Oryctolagus cuniculus: one gene and its partner. The protein of the gene in region 1 purifies or fractionates together with the protein of each later gene. This does not show direct contact. Links are inferred from orthologs where the notes say so. Each region holds a gene or a part of one and is shown on either strand. Other genes may lie near its edges.

The links.
Region 2: the proteins of LIG3 (region 1) and APTX purify together in Homo sapiens (affinity purification with mass spectrometry; 3 studies listed by BioGRID and IntAct, with this or other methods). This does not show direct contact. The link is inferred for Oryctolagus cuniculus from reciprocal best matches to the Homo sapiens genes LIG3 and APTX.

What each region holds. Positions count from the first base shown.
Region 1 is NC_091448.1:39,294,180-39,299,984, forward strand, and holds part of LIG3 (DNA ligase 3), read right to left. Parts: intron 2,210-5,805; coding exon 2,066-2,209; intron 1-2,065. UniProt on the Homo sapiens protein: Isoform 3 functions as a heterodimer with DNA-repair protein XRCC1 in the nucleus and can correct defective DNA strand-break repair and sister chromatid exchange following treatment with ionizing radiation and alkylating agents.
Region 2 is NC_091432.1:196,395,320-196,401,124, reverse strand, and holds part of APTX (aprataxin), read left to right. Parts: intron 1-780; coding exon 781-840; intron 841-2,275; coding exon 2,276-2,499; intron 2,500-5,805. UniProt on the Homo sapiens protein: DNA-binding protein involved in single-strand DNA break repair, double-strand DNA break repair and base excision repair.

The sequences.
Region 1 (5,805 bases):
TTGTTTGTTTGTTTTTTAAAGATTGACTTGGGGCCAGCGTTGTGGCATAGATGGTAAAGCCACCACTGTGATGCCAGCATCCTATTATCGGTGCTGGTTTAATTCCCGGCTGCTCCACTTCCGATCCAGCTCTGGGCTAATGTCCTGGGAAAAGCAGCGGAAGATGGTCCAAGAGCGTGGGCCCCTACACCCACTTGGGAGACCTGGAAGAAGCTCCTGGCTTCAGCCCAGCCAGCCCTGGCCAGTGTGGCCATCTGGAAGTGGATGGAAGACCTAACTCTTTCAAATAAACAAATAAATCTTTAAAAAGAAAAAAAAGATTTACTTATTTATTTGAAAGACAGAGAGACAGAGAGATCTTCCATCTGCTGGTTCACTCCTCAAATGGCAATAGCCAGGGCTAGGCCAGGCCAAAGTCTGAAGCCAGGAACTCTACTCAGATCTCCTACAGAGGCGGCAGGGGCTCAAGTACTTGGGCCACCATCTGCTGCCTTCCCAGGAGCATTAGCAAGAAGCTGGTTTGGAAGCAGAGCAGCTGGGACTTGAACCGGTATTGGTTTATGGGATCTCAGCATCAGAAGTGGATGCTTAAACCCTGTGCCACAACACGAGCCCTGATCCTGATCTTTTCAACTCCCATTTATAGCCTATGCTCCAGCAAAATTTTCTTAAATTCCTGTCTGTGAAACAGAAACTCCATATTTTATATAAAAGAAATCGTATGTTCATGGGTATGAGTATAAATTCACTTGTGTGAAGAGAAAGAAAATGTAAGACATTACTGTTATCCAATCGTCAAGAAGACACAAAATGGATGGGCATTGGGCTCAGCCGTTAAGACATCCTGTAGGATACCTGCACCCCTGACACTGGAGTGCCTGGGTTTGGTCTTGGCTCCACTTCCAATTCCGACTTCCTTCTAATGTGTACTTTAGGAGGCAGCAGGGGATGACTCAAGTACTTGGGTCCCTGCCACCTACATAGGAGACTCAGGTTGAGTTCCTGGCTCCTGGCTTTAGCTTGGCTCAGCCTTGGCTGTTACAGGCCTTTGGGAAGTGAACTAGGGGATGCATGATCTTTCTCTGTCTCTACTTCTCTGTCATTCTGCCGTTTATTTACTTATTTTTAATATTACACTCTTTAAGATTCATTTATTTGAAAGGCGGGGTTGGGGGGGGGACAAAGAGTGCTTCCATCTATTGGTTCACTCTCCAGATGGCTGCAATGGCTGGAGATGAGCTGGACTGAAGCCAGGAGCTTCTTCTGGGTCTCTCATGCGGGTGGCAGGGCCCCAAAAACTTGGGCCATCTTCCACTGCTTTCCCAGGCACATTAGCAGGGAGCTGGATTGAGAAGTGGAGCAGGGGGGAGTCAAATTGGCACCCCTATGGGGTGCCAGCACTACAGGTGGCGGCTTTATCCACTATGCCACAATGCCAGCCCCTCTGCCATTTATTTATAAATAAATAAGTCCTTTTAAAACAAAATCTTAGTCTGGCCTAGGAAATGACTTCCATGGCAAAAAGTCCTTTTATTTAAAAAAACTTTTTAAATTACATTTATTCTCATTTATTTGAAAGGCAGAGACAGAGAGATCTTACATCTGCTGGTTCACTCCCCAAATACTCATAACAGCTAGGGCTGGGTCAGGCAGGAGCAAGGAGCCTAGAACCAAATCCAGGTCTCCCATGAGAGAAGGCGGGACTAAAGTACTTGAACCATCACCTGCTGCCTCCAAGGGTGCTTATGAGCAAGAAGTTGAAATCAAAGTGGAGCCAGGATTCAAACTCAGGTGCTCCAATATAGGATGTGGGGGTTCCAAGCAATGTTTTAACCACTGACCTACCCCTAAGGCAAAAAGTCTAATACAGCAAACATCCTTCTGCTATGAGAGAGATTAAGGTGTACAAAGAAATGCTGTACAAGTGTGATGCTGATAATTAGCCACCACCTGTCTATACTCAGACAAAAGCCAATTATTGGGACTAGAAAGCACAGAATTTTCAGTCAGCAAGATCCCCAAGTAAAAGAGCTGTAACAGCTCTAGTATCCCTAACCTATCTTACCTGAAAAGCCAGAAAATTTCCGTGGATTGGGGTTGGTGACTAACGAGGCTCCTTTCACTGGGGATGTCACCTGGCCAGTGGATGTCAACTTTGCCTGGACGACAGCTTTCTTCTTTGGTGTGCTTGCTGCCTTGGAAGACAGATCTGCAGAAACCCAAAAGAAGGCAAAATATCCTTTAGTGAGAGCTCTCTGAGGCCGCTTCCACACAACCTTCAGCCGCGCTTAGAGCCTTGCTGGGCAAGCACTGCTACAGCCCACCCAGCCTGGCTGGGCTCTCTCAGTGAAGGTACGAGGGCACTGTGTGCAGGGCAGGGACCCATGTTACCATATACCTGCATTAAGAACAGACTGTCATTTGAGGAGTGAGCCAGTGGATGGAAGAGCTCTGTCTCTCCCCAACTTTGACTTTCAAATAAATAAACCTTAGATGTGACAAGATTTGGAGAAAATCAGAAATTACAACTTTTTTTTTAAAAGATTTATTTATTTATTTGAAAGGCAGATTTAGCGAGGGGCGGGGGGAGAGAGGGAGAGAGAGAGAGAGAGAGAGAGAGAGAGAGAGATTGATTGATTGATTGATTCCAAATGCCTGCAATAGCCAGGCTGGGCAGGTGGAAGCCAGGAGTTTGGAACTCCATCCAGGCCTCCTTCGTGGGTGGCAGGGACCCAAATACTTGGGTCATCCTCCACTGCTTTCTGAAGCACATTAGCAGAGAGCTGGATCGGCCCTGGATCGGAAGTGGAGGCCCTGGATAGGAAGTGGAGCAGCCAGGACCTGAACTGCGGGATGCGGATGTTGTAGGCAGTGGCTTAACCCTGTCATGACCAAGGCTTTGAAGAGGAAATGCCAGGGGAAGTTTCAACAAAGTCCTCCAACACGACCAAGCTCCCACTCATCAAACGAGGGCAAATCTGAGCATGTTTTAATGGGAATCATTAGGCATCCATCCTGCATTGGCTCCTTCTTTCTGTTCCCTTAAAGGGAACTCTTTTTCTTAGCTAATAATGTAAAAAAGATGGCACTGATCTGGTTAAACTCCCAGGACCCCTGAGTTTTTCAGAGATGGACTCAGTGGTTGCTATCACTACTTATAAGTTTCTTGAACTTGGTGAGCTTAAAATTTGAACAATAAAATTTACACAGAAGAGGCAGGTGTTGTGTTACAGATAGGTTAAGCTGTGTCTTGGGATGCCTACATTCCATACTGGAGTGTTGGCTTAAGTCCCGGCTACACTGCTTCTGATCTAGCTCCCTGCTAATGCATACTTGAGTTCCTGCTACACATGTAGGAGACCTGGCTCCTAGTTTGGGCCTGGCCCAGCCCTGACTGCTGTAACCATTTGGGGAGTGAAACAGCAGATGAAAAATCTGTCACTCCTCTTTTCAAATAAATTTAAAAAAAAATTTTAAGTTTAGATTTCTTTACACTGCCATGAACTTTTGAAGCCTTTTCATAGACACTATTTAAAACTATTTACCTGAAAAAGGACTTGTATCCAGAATGTATTTTTAAAAATCTTTAAAATAGTAAGACACAAAATCTTGGCAGAGAGACGGTTACACATCAGAGAGAGGTATCTCCTCTCCCCTGGTTCACTCCCCAAATGCCTATAAAAGTCAGGCTGGGCCAGGGAAGGCGAGGCCAAAGCCAACAACTCTGACCAGGTCTCCCTAGTATCTGGGCCATCTCACGCTGCCTCCCAGATTGCACGTTAGTGGGAAGCTGGATTAGGAGCTGTGACAGAATTTGATCCCAGGCACTCTGATACGGGAGTCATCCCAAGTGGTGCTTCTTTGTCCCTGTTTTTCAAATAAAAACAAAAATTTATAAAAACATACAATAAACATCAGTATAATGTTGAAGATTTTAAAAAAATACTGACAATACCTACTCAGAACACAGAGGGAGCAGTCATCACTCTCATGTGCTGGTGGGAGTGCAGATTGGTAAAAAGACCTTGAAAAACAGTTTCAAAGACTCAACCAAAACCCGTCCAGCAATTCCACTCCTGGGTATGGATTCAGCAGAAAGACCCAATGATATGCACCAAAACCAAGGCCCAGTGTGTTCACAGCAGCACTGTTTGTAGCTGGACATAAACCAAGTATTCATCAACAGAAGAATAAGCTGTGAACTTAGCCACTACAATGAGTAAAGCACAACAAAAAGCAACCTAATCTTGAAAAGAAGCCAGAGAAAGCAGAGTTTAAGTTTAGAATGGGCAGCATTATGTTAACAGTGTTAGGAATAATGGTTACGGCTAGCGCCGCGGCTCACTAGGCTAATCCTCCGCCCTGCGGCGCCGGCACACCGGGTTCTAGTCCCGGTCAGGGCGCCGGATTCTGTCCCGGTTGCCCCTCTTCCAGGCCAGCTCTCTGCTATGGTCTGGGAGTGCAGGGGAGGATGGCCCAAGTGCTTGGGCCCTGCACCCCATGGGAGACCAGGAGAAGCACCTGGCTCCTGCCTTTGTATCAGCGCAGTACGGCGGCCGCGGCGGCCTTTGGAGGGTGAACCAAAGGAAAAAGGAAGACCTTTCTCTCTGTCTCTCTCTCTCTCTCACTGTCCACTCTGCCTGTCAAAAAAAAAAAAAAAAAAAGATTTGGAACACAGAGCAACAGACAGGGAGAGACAGAGATAAAGACTGATCTTCTTTGTGCTGGTTCACTCCTCAAATGGTCACAAGAGTCAGGGATGGGTCAGGCTGAAGCCAGGTACACTGGCAGGCAGCTGGACCAGAATTGGAGCAGCCAGGACTCAAACTGGCACTCCAACATGAGATGCCAGCATCAGAAGCAGGAGTGTAACTGCCACACCACCACCCAGCCAGGACTTGTGTATCCCTGTTACACTTCCAGAGAAGTTTACAGGATTGGTGAATGAATGAGTGCACACTTTGCACTTTGAAAGATTCCGGCAGGCTGCGGTTCATGGAGGGTATAAATGCCCTACAGGGGACGACAGCACTCTCTGCTCCACAGCTGCCTGGCAGCCACGGTCATCAGTTATTTTAAAGAGACCTAACTGGTGTGGGGCAAATGATGTCAGCATGTGGGTTGGTTTCATGTGGGGCCTGGGAATACTAGGGCCACGCCTGTCTGCAGCTGACGGTTCAAGTCATTCTGGCTGAGGGAGGTCTTGCAGGATGACACTCAAGTTTACAAGGACAGGCCCACCAAGTACCACCCCTTCTCACCACTTACCCATCATTAACCACATGTGACAGTATTTCCCCAGGGAACTAATGATCACTTAATGGATATCAGCACTTCTGGTACTCGGAAAGGCCACAGCACATCCCAGGGGGCCATGCCCCTGGGCTCCTCACATGTGACAGATGTGCTGATGACCATCTCTGGACAGTTAGAGTCTCCCATTTTCCCAGAAACCAGTTTGACATGACTAGCCCTAATTTACAGACAAAAAACAAGGAAAAGTAAAGCCCGATCCCACAGCACGCTGGCTTGGTATGGGTAGGAAAATGTCCAGCTGCTAACTTACCTGATTTATGGAAGAGTTTAATTCTATCTGTACTTTTCTTCTGAATGAGACGTGGGTCAAGAGATAACAAAGGCAGAGGCCAATGGCTAAGGCTAAGGGTGGGGCTGGATGGGGAGCTTGAGCGCGAAGCATACAGGAAAGAAAGTCCTCTCTCCTGAAAATCCTTTTCCTTCTCAAAGGACAAGGATAATGTTCCTTTTGAGAACCACATTAGTCTCCCTACAGTGACCAGACTATAC
Region 2 (5,805 bases), on another chromosome or scaffold:
TGCTTGGGTGAATGTCCCTTTATATGCGTTTCTCTTCAGTTCCTGAGGTAAGCCACTTGAAGGAAAGTAGGACAATAATGGCAGTGTATTTTCCACTGAACGACTGAAATGAGTCAGTTGTTTGTATATCTATAGTAGTCTTGCAATAGAACACTTTTAAAAAAAATGTTATTTATTTGAAAGTCTGAGTTACACACACACACACACACAGAGAGAGAGAGAGAGAGAGAGAGAGAGAATCTTCATTTACTGGTTCATGGCCAAATGAATAGGCATGAATGGCTGGGGCTGGGCCAGGCTGAAGCCAGGAGTCTGCCATGTGGGTGCACAGCTTCTATGCCAGGCACATTAGTAGGGAGCTGGATCTGAAGCAGAGCAGCAGGGTCTCCAACTGGAGCTCATATGGGATGCTGATGTCACAGGCTTTACCCACTTTGCCACAGTACCAGCTTCCTGGAACACTTTTCTTAGATTGTGTAATTCATATGCAGAATTCAAGGTGGACTCTTGATCAGGCTGTAGTTGGAGTGCAAGAGGGAAAAGATGTGATTTATGCTTTGACTCCTCTGGCCTCCGTCTAGACACCCACTCCAAAAATAGGAAGACAGTAGGGGATGGCTGTGGTCCTTAAAGGCAGTAGGTTAAAGTAAAGGGAATGTAGTTCTGTTCTCAAAAACTAACTCATTTCCAGGTTTGATTGGACTTTGCTGTTTAACAGTGTTAACTAATGCCAAATTTAGTTACTGGTATTTGCAATTTACATTATCCATTTTTGTCTAGGAACCTCTGGGTCACTGGAGTCAAGGCTTGAAGATTTCAATGCAGGACCCCAAAATGCAGGTCAGGATAAAATTTTTGAATTTAAGCAAATTAGATGTTTTAAATGATCACAGAGGTCATAATTCTACATTAAATCAAAGGATATTAATCCTTTGAGATTTGTTTTATTGGGCTATTCTGTGAGAACAAGTGCTTTTTCCATTGGCAAAAAGGTAGCAACTGGAATTTGGAGAGAAGCTAAATTCTTCAAATGAATATCCCTTCTGCCTTACCTTTTATTATTATTTATTATATATATATATAGAGAGAGAGAGAGACAGAGAGGGAGAGAGCTCCCATCCATTGGTTCACTCCTTGAATGCCTGCAGTGACCAAAGCTGGGCTGGGCCAAGGCCAGGAGCTTGGAACTTAATCTGAGGTCTCCTATCTGGGTGGCAGAGACCCAATTACTTGAGCCATCATTGCTGTATCCCATAGTCTATATTAGCAGGAGCTGGGAGTCAAACCCAAGGACTGTAGTATGGGATTTGTGGGTTTTCCCTGGTGTCTTATCCACTTGGAAAATCCCTACCCCCCAAGTTTCTTTTTTTATTTTTATTCTACCCCTATTTTTTTTTTTTTTTTAATAATTTATTTGAAAGGCAGAGTGACAGAGAGGGGGAGAGAGAGAAAGAGATCCTTCATCTGCTGGTTCACTCCAAATGGCTATATTGGCCAGGGCTGGTCCAGGCTTAAGCCAGGGGACCAGAACTTTACCCAGGTCTCCCACATGAGTGGCAGTGGCCCAAGCACTTGGGCCATTCTTTGCTGCTTTTACAGGCACATTAGAAGGGAGCTGGATGGGAAGCAGAGCAATTGGGACTTGAACTCACACTTGATTTGGGCTGCTGGTGTTGTAAGTAGTGGCATAACCCACTCTGCCATAATGCTGGTGCTTCCCTTCACAGATCTATCTATCTGCACATATATATGTGTATATATATGTGTGTGTATACACACACATACACCCAGGATATGTGTGTGTGTATATATGTATATATATGTATATGTGTGTGTGTATGTATAAATCAATCAATCAATCCAGATCTCCCATGTGGGTGCAGGGGCCCAAGTACTTGGGCCATCTTCCACTGTTTTGCCCAGGCCATTAGCAGGAGCTGGATTGGAAGTGGAACAACTGAGACTTGAACCAGCGCCCAAATGGGTTGCTGGCATCATAGACAGTGGCTTTACCCACTATGCCACAGTGGCAGCCCCTCGCCCACAGATTCTTGTTCTGGGTTAGAATCCTAAATTTCCTACCTAGTAACTATGTGTGTTGTAAAAGACACTGGATCTCTGTGAGTCTCAGTGCTCTCATCTGTCAAAGTTGGGCTACAAAACATTTTGTACAAGACAGTGGTGGGAATTAGGTGACTTAATGAATATGACAGCACCTGGTACACAGATAATTCTCAGTAGATGTCTGTTTTCTTCTCTTGTGCCTCTCTGCTAGGTCTACAAAGATGAGCAGGTGGTAGTGATTAAGGATAAATATCCGAAGGCCCGTTACCACTGGCTGGTCTTACCATGGGCCTCCATTTCCAGTCTGAAGGCTGTGACCAGGGAACACCTTGAACTCCTCAAGCATATGCACACTGTAGGGGAAAAGGTGATTGCAGATTTTGGGTCCAGCAAACTCCGCTTCCGACTGGGCTACCACGCCATTCCTAGCATGAGGTAAGCTTGTGGGAGGTCCTGGGGCCTTCTTGTTCTGTCCAGGTGTTCAGGTAGATTCAGCCTGGGCTTGCTGAGTGTGCTGACAGCCCTGAGGCCCAGGGGAGTAGGATGGGATGTTTTCAAGACCTCTCAGCTTGACTTACCTGCAAACCTGCTCTGCCTATATTTCAGTTATGTATGATTCTTTGTTCCTCTCAAAATTCAGACCTTTCAGGACTTCAAATATGAGCTAGATGCAGCAGCTTGATTCCTCTCAGGTGAGGAACTGTGGTCAGTGGCTTTTATCAGATTTTTCAAAAGCATCTGCAGTGCTAAAATGACTAAGGACTGTTGCTCTGAAGGAAACACACACTGTAGGCTTCTTGAAAGATGGCTTAGTAGACCTAAGATTTAAAATAAAGTGAGAGGACAGTAGGGAGTCTGTTCCTTTGACTTATACCCAGAAGGATTTGGAAAGGAATTATTTTTCAAAAGAATGCAAGCAAGGCAGATCTTCACAGTTCCTTTGACCTGCAGAGTAAGATAATGAGACTGATTTCAAGTTTGTACCTTAATTTTATTTTTTAAAGATTTATTTATTTATTTATTTAGGGGCTGGCGCTGTATTTATTTGAAAGGCAGAGTTACAGAGAAGCAGAGAGAGAAAGAGCGGTCTTCTGTCTGTGGGTTTACTCCTTAAATGGCTGCAACAGCTGGAGCTGGGCCGATCCAAAGCCAGGAGTCAGGAACCAGGAGCTTCTTCCAGGTCTCCCACATGGGTGCAGGGGCCAAGAACTTGGGCCATCTTCTACTGCTTTCTCAGACCATAGCAGAGAGCTGGATCTGAAGTTGAGCAGCCGGGACTTGAACCAGCGCCCAAATGGAATGCTGGTGCCACAGGCAGAAGCTTAGTCCCCTAGGCCACAACACTGGTCCCTGTACTTTATTTATTTATTTATTTTATAAAGACTTACTTTATTTATTTGAAAGGCAGAGTTACTGAGATAGGTAGAGAGAGGGGTCTTCCATCCGCTGGTTCACTCTGCAAATGGCCACAATGGCCAGAGCTGAGCTGATCCAAATCCAGGAGCCAGGAGTTTCTTCTGGGTCTCTCATGTGGGTGCAGGGGCCCAAGGACTTGGGCCATCCTCTGCTGCTTTCCCAGGCACATTAGTAGGGAGTTGTATCAGAAATGGAGCAGCCGGGGCTCAAACCGGCACCCATATGGGATGCCAGCGCAGCAGGCAGAGGCTTAGGCCACTATGCCACTGCACCAGCTCCTGTAGCTTATTTTTTAAAAGTTGTGGTAAAATATGCATTAAGTGTGTTCTTTACTGGCATTAAGTATATTCACATTATGGTGCAACCATCATTGCCATCCTTCTCCAGGACTTTTTTCATCTTCCCCAAATGAAACACTGTACCCAGTAAATAATAATTCCCCATTAGACCAACATTCCCCTTTCTGTCTGTGAATGGAGTACAATAGTCTTTCCTCATCTGTGAGTCTGTGAGGGATATATTACAAGACCCCAGGGGGTGCCTGAAACTACTGAGCTCCATATATATATATACTTTTCTTTCTTCTTCTTCTTCTTTTTTTTTTTTAATTTTACTTATTTGAGAGAGTTACAGCCAGTGATAGGGACAGACAGAAAAGTCTTCCGTCCGTTGATTCACTCCCTAAATGGCCACAGTGGCTGGAGCTGGGCCATCCGAAGCTGGGCCAATCAGAAGCCAGGAGCCAGCAGCCTCTTCTGAGCCTCCCACACGGGTGCAGGGGCTCAAGCTCACAGGTGGAGGCTTAACCTACTGTGTCACAATGCCAATGTATACACTTTTTAACAATATGTACATATCTATGATAAGGTTTAAAAAATTTTTTTTTTTTTTGACAGGCAGAGGTAGACAGAGAGAGAGGCAGAGAGAAAGGTCTTCCTTTTTCTGTTGGTTCACCCCTCAAATGGCTGCTACGGCCAGTGCGCTGCGCTGATCCGAAGCTGGGAGCCAGATGCTTCCTACTGGTCTCCCATGCGGGTGCAGGGCCCAAGCACTTGAGCCATCCTCCACTGCCTTCCCGGGCCACAGCAGAGAGCTGGACTGGAAGAGGAGCAACTGGGACAGAATCTGGTGCCCCAACCGGGATTAGAACCTGGGGTTCCGGCGCCGCAGGTGGAGGATTAGCCTAGTGAGCCGTGGCGCCAGCAAGAGAGTCATCTTAACAATGCACTGCAATGAAAGTTATGTACATTTGGTTTTCTTGAGGAGTTAAGACAAATATTAGTATTTTGGACTGTGGTTGACTTTGGGTAACAAAAACAAACTGCAGGTGGGGGGCACCATACTCTGAGTATGTTATATAAATGAAATCATGCAGTATTTGATGTTTTGTGACTGACTTATTTTACTTAACATAATGATGTCTTCAGAGTTTATCCATACTGTAGTATGTGACTGAATTTCCTTTGGCAATTTTTTTGAGGTCAATACATCTTATATTATTTAAGGGAATACAGGATGAAAGACAACAATGATAGGCACTTGAAGACAGTTTCCAAAATCTTTTTGAGGGCCATCACTGTGATATAGAAGGTTAAGCCTCTACCTGCAGTGCTGGAATCCCATATAGGCACTGGTTCAAGTCCAGGCTGCTCCATTAATGATCTAGCTCCCTGTTAATGTGCCTGGGAAAGCAGTAGAGGATGACTCCAAACCTTGGGCCCGTGCACCCTTGTGAGAAACCCCGATGAAGCTCCTGGCTCCTGGCGTCAGCTTGGCCTAGCCCTCGCTGTTGGACCATTTGTTGATTGAAACAGCAGGTAGAAGATTACTTGCTTTCTCTTTCTCTTTCTCTTTCCTTCTCTCTCTGTATCTCTGCCTTTCAAATAAATAAATAAATCATTAAAAAACATCTTTTTGATGATTTTTTTTTTTTTGACAGGCAGAGTGGACAGTGAGAGAGAGAGACAGAGAGAAAGGTCTTCCTTTGCCGTTGGTTCACCCTCCAATGGCCGCCGCGGCCGGCGCGCTGCGGCCGGCGCACCGCGCTGATCCGATGGCAGGAGCCAGGAGCCAGGAGCCAGGTGCTTTTCCTGGTCTCCCATGGGGTGCAGGGCCCAAGCACCTGGGCCATCCTCCACTGCACTCCCTGGCCACAGCAGAGGGCTGGCCTGGAAGAGGGGCAACCGGGACAGAATCCAGCGCCCCGACCGGGACTAGAACCCGGTGTGCCGGCGCCGCTAGGTGGAGGATTAGCCTAGTGAGCCGCGGCGCCGGCCTTGATAATTTTTAATCCTAAAGTTATACTAGGTTAAATTAAATGACATT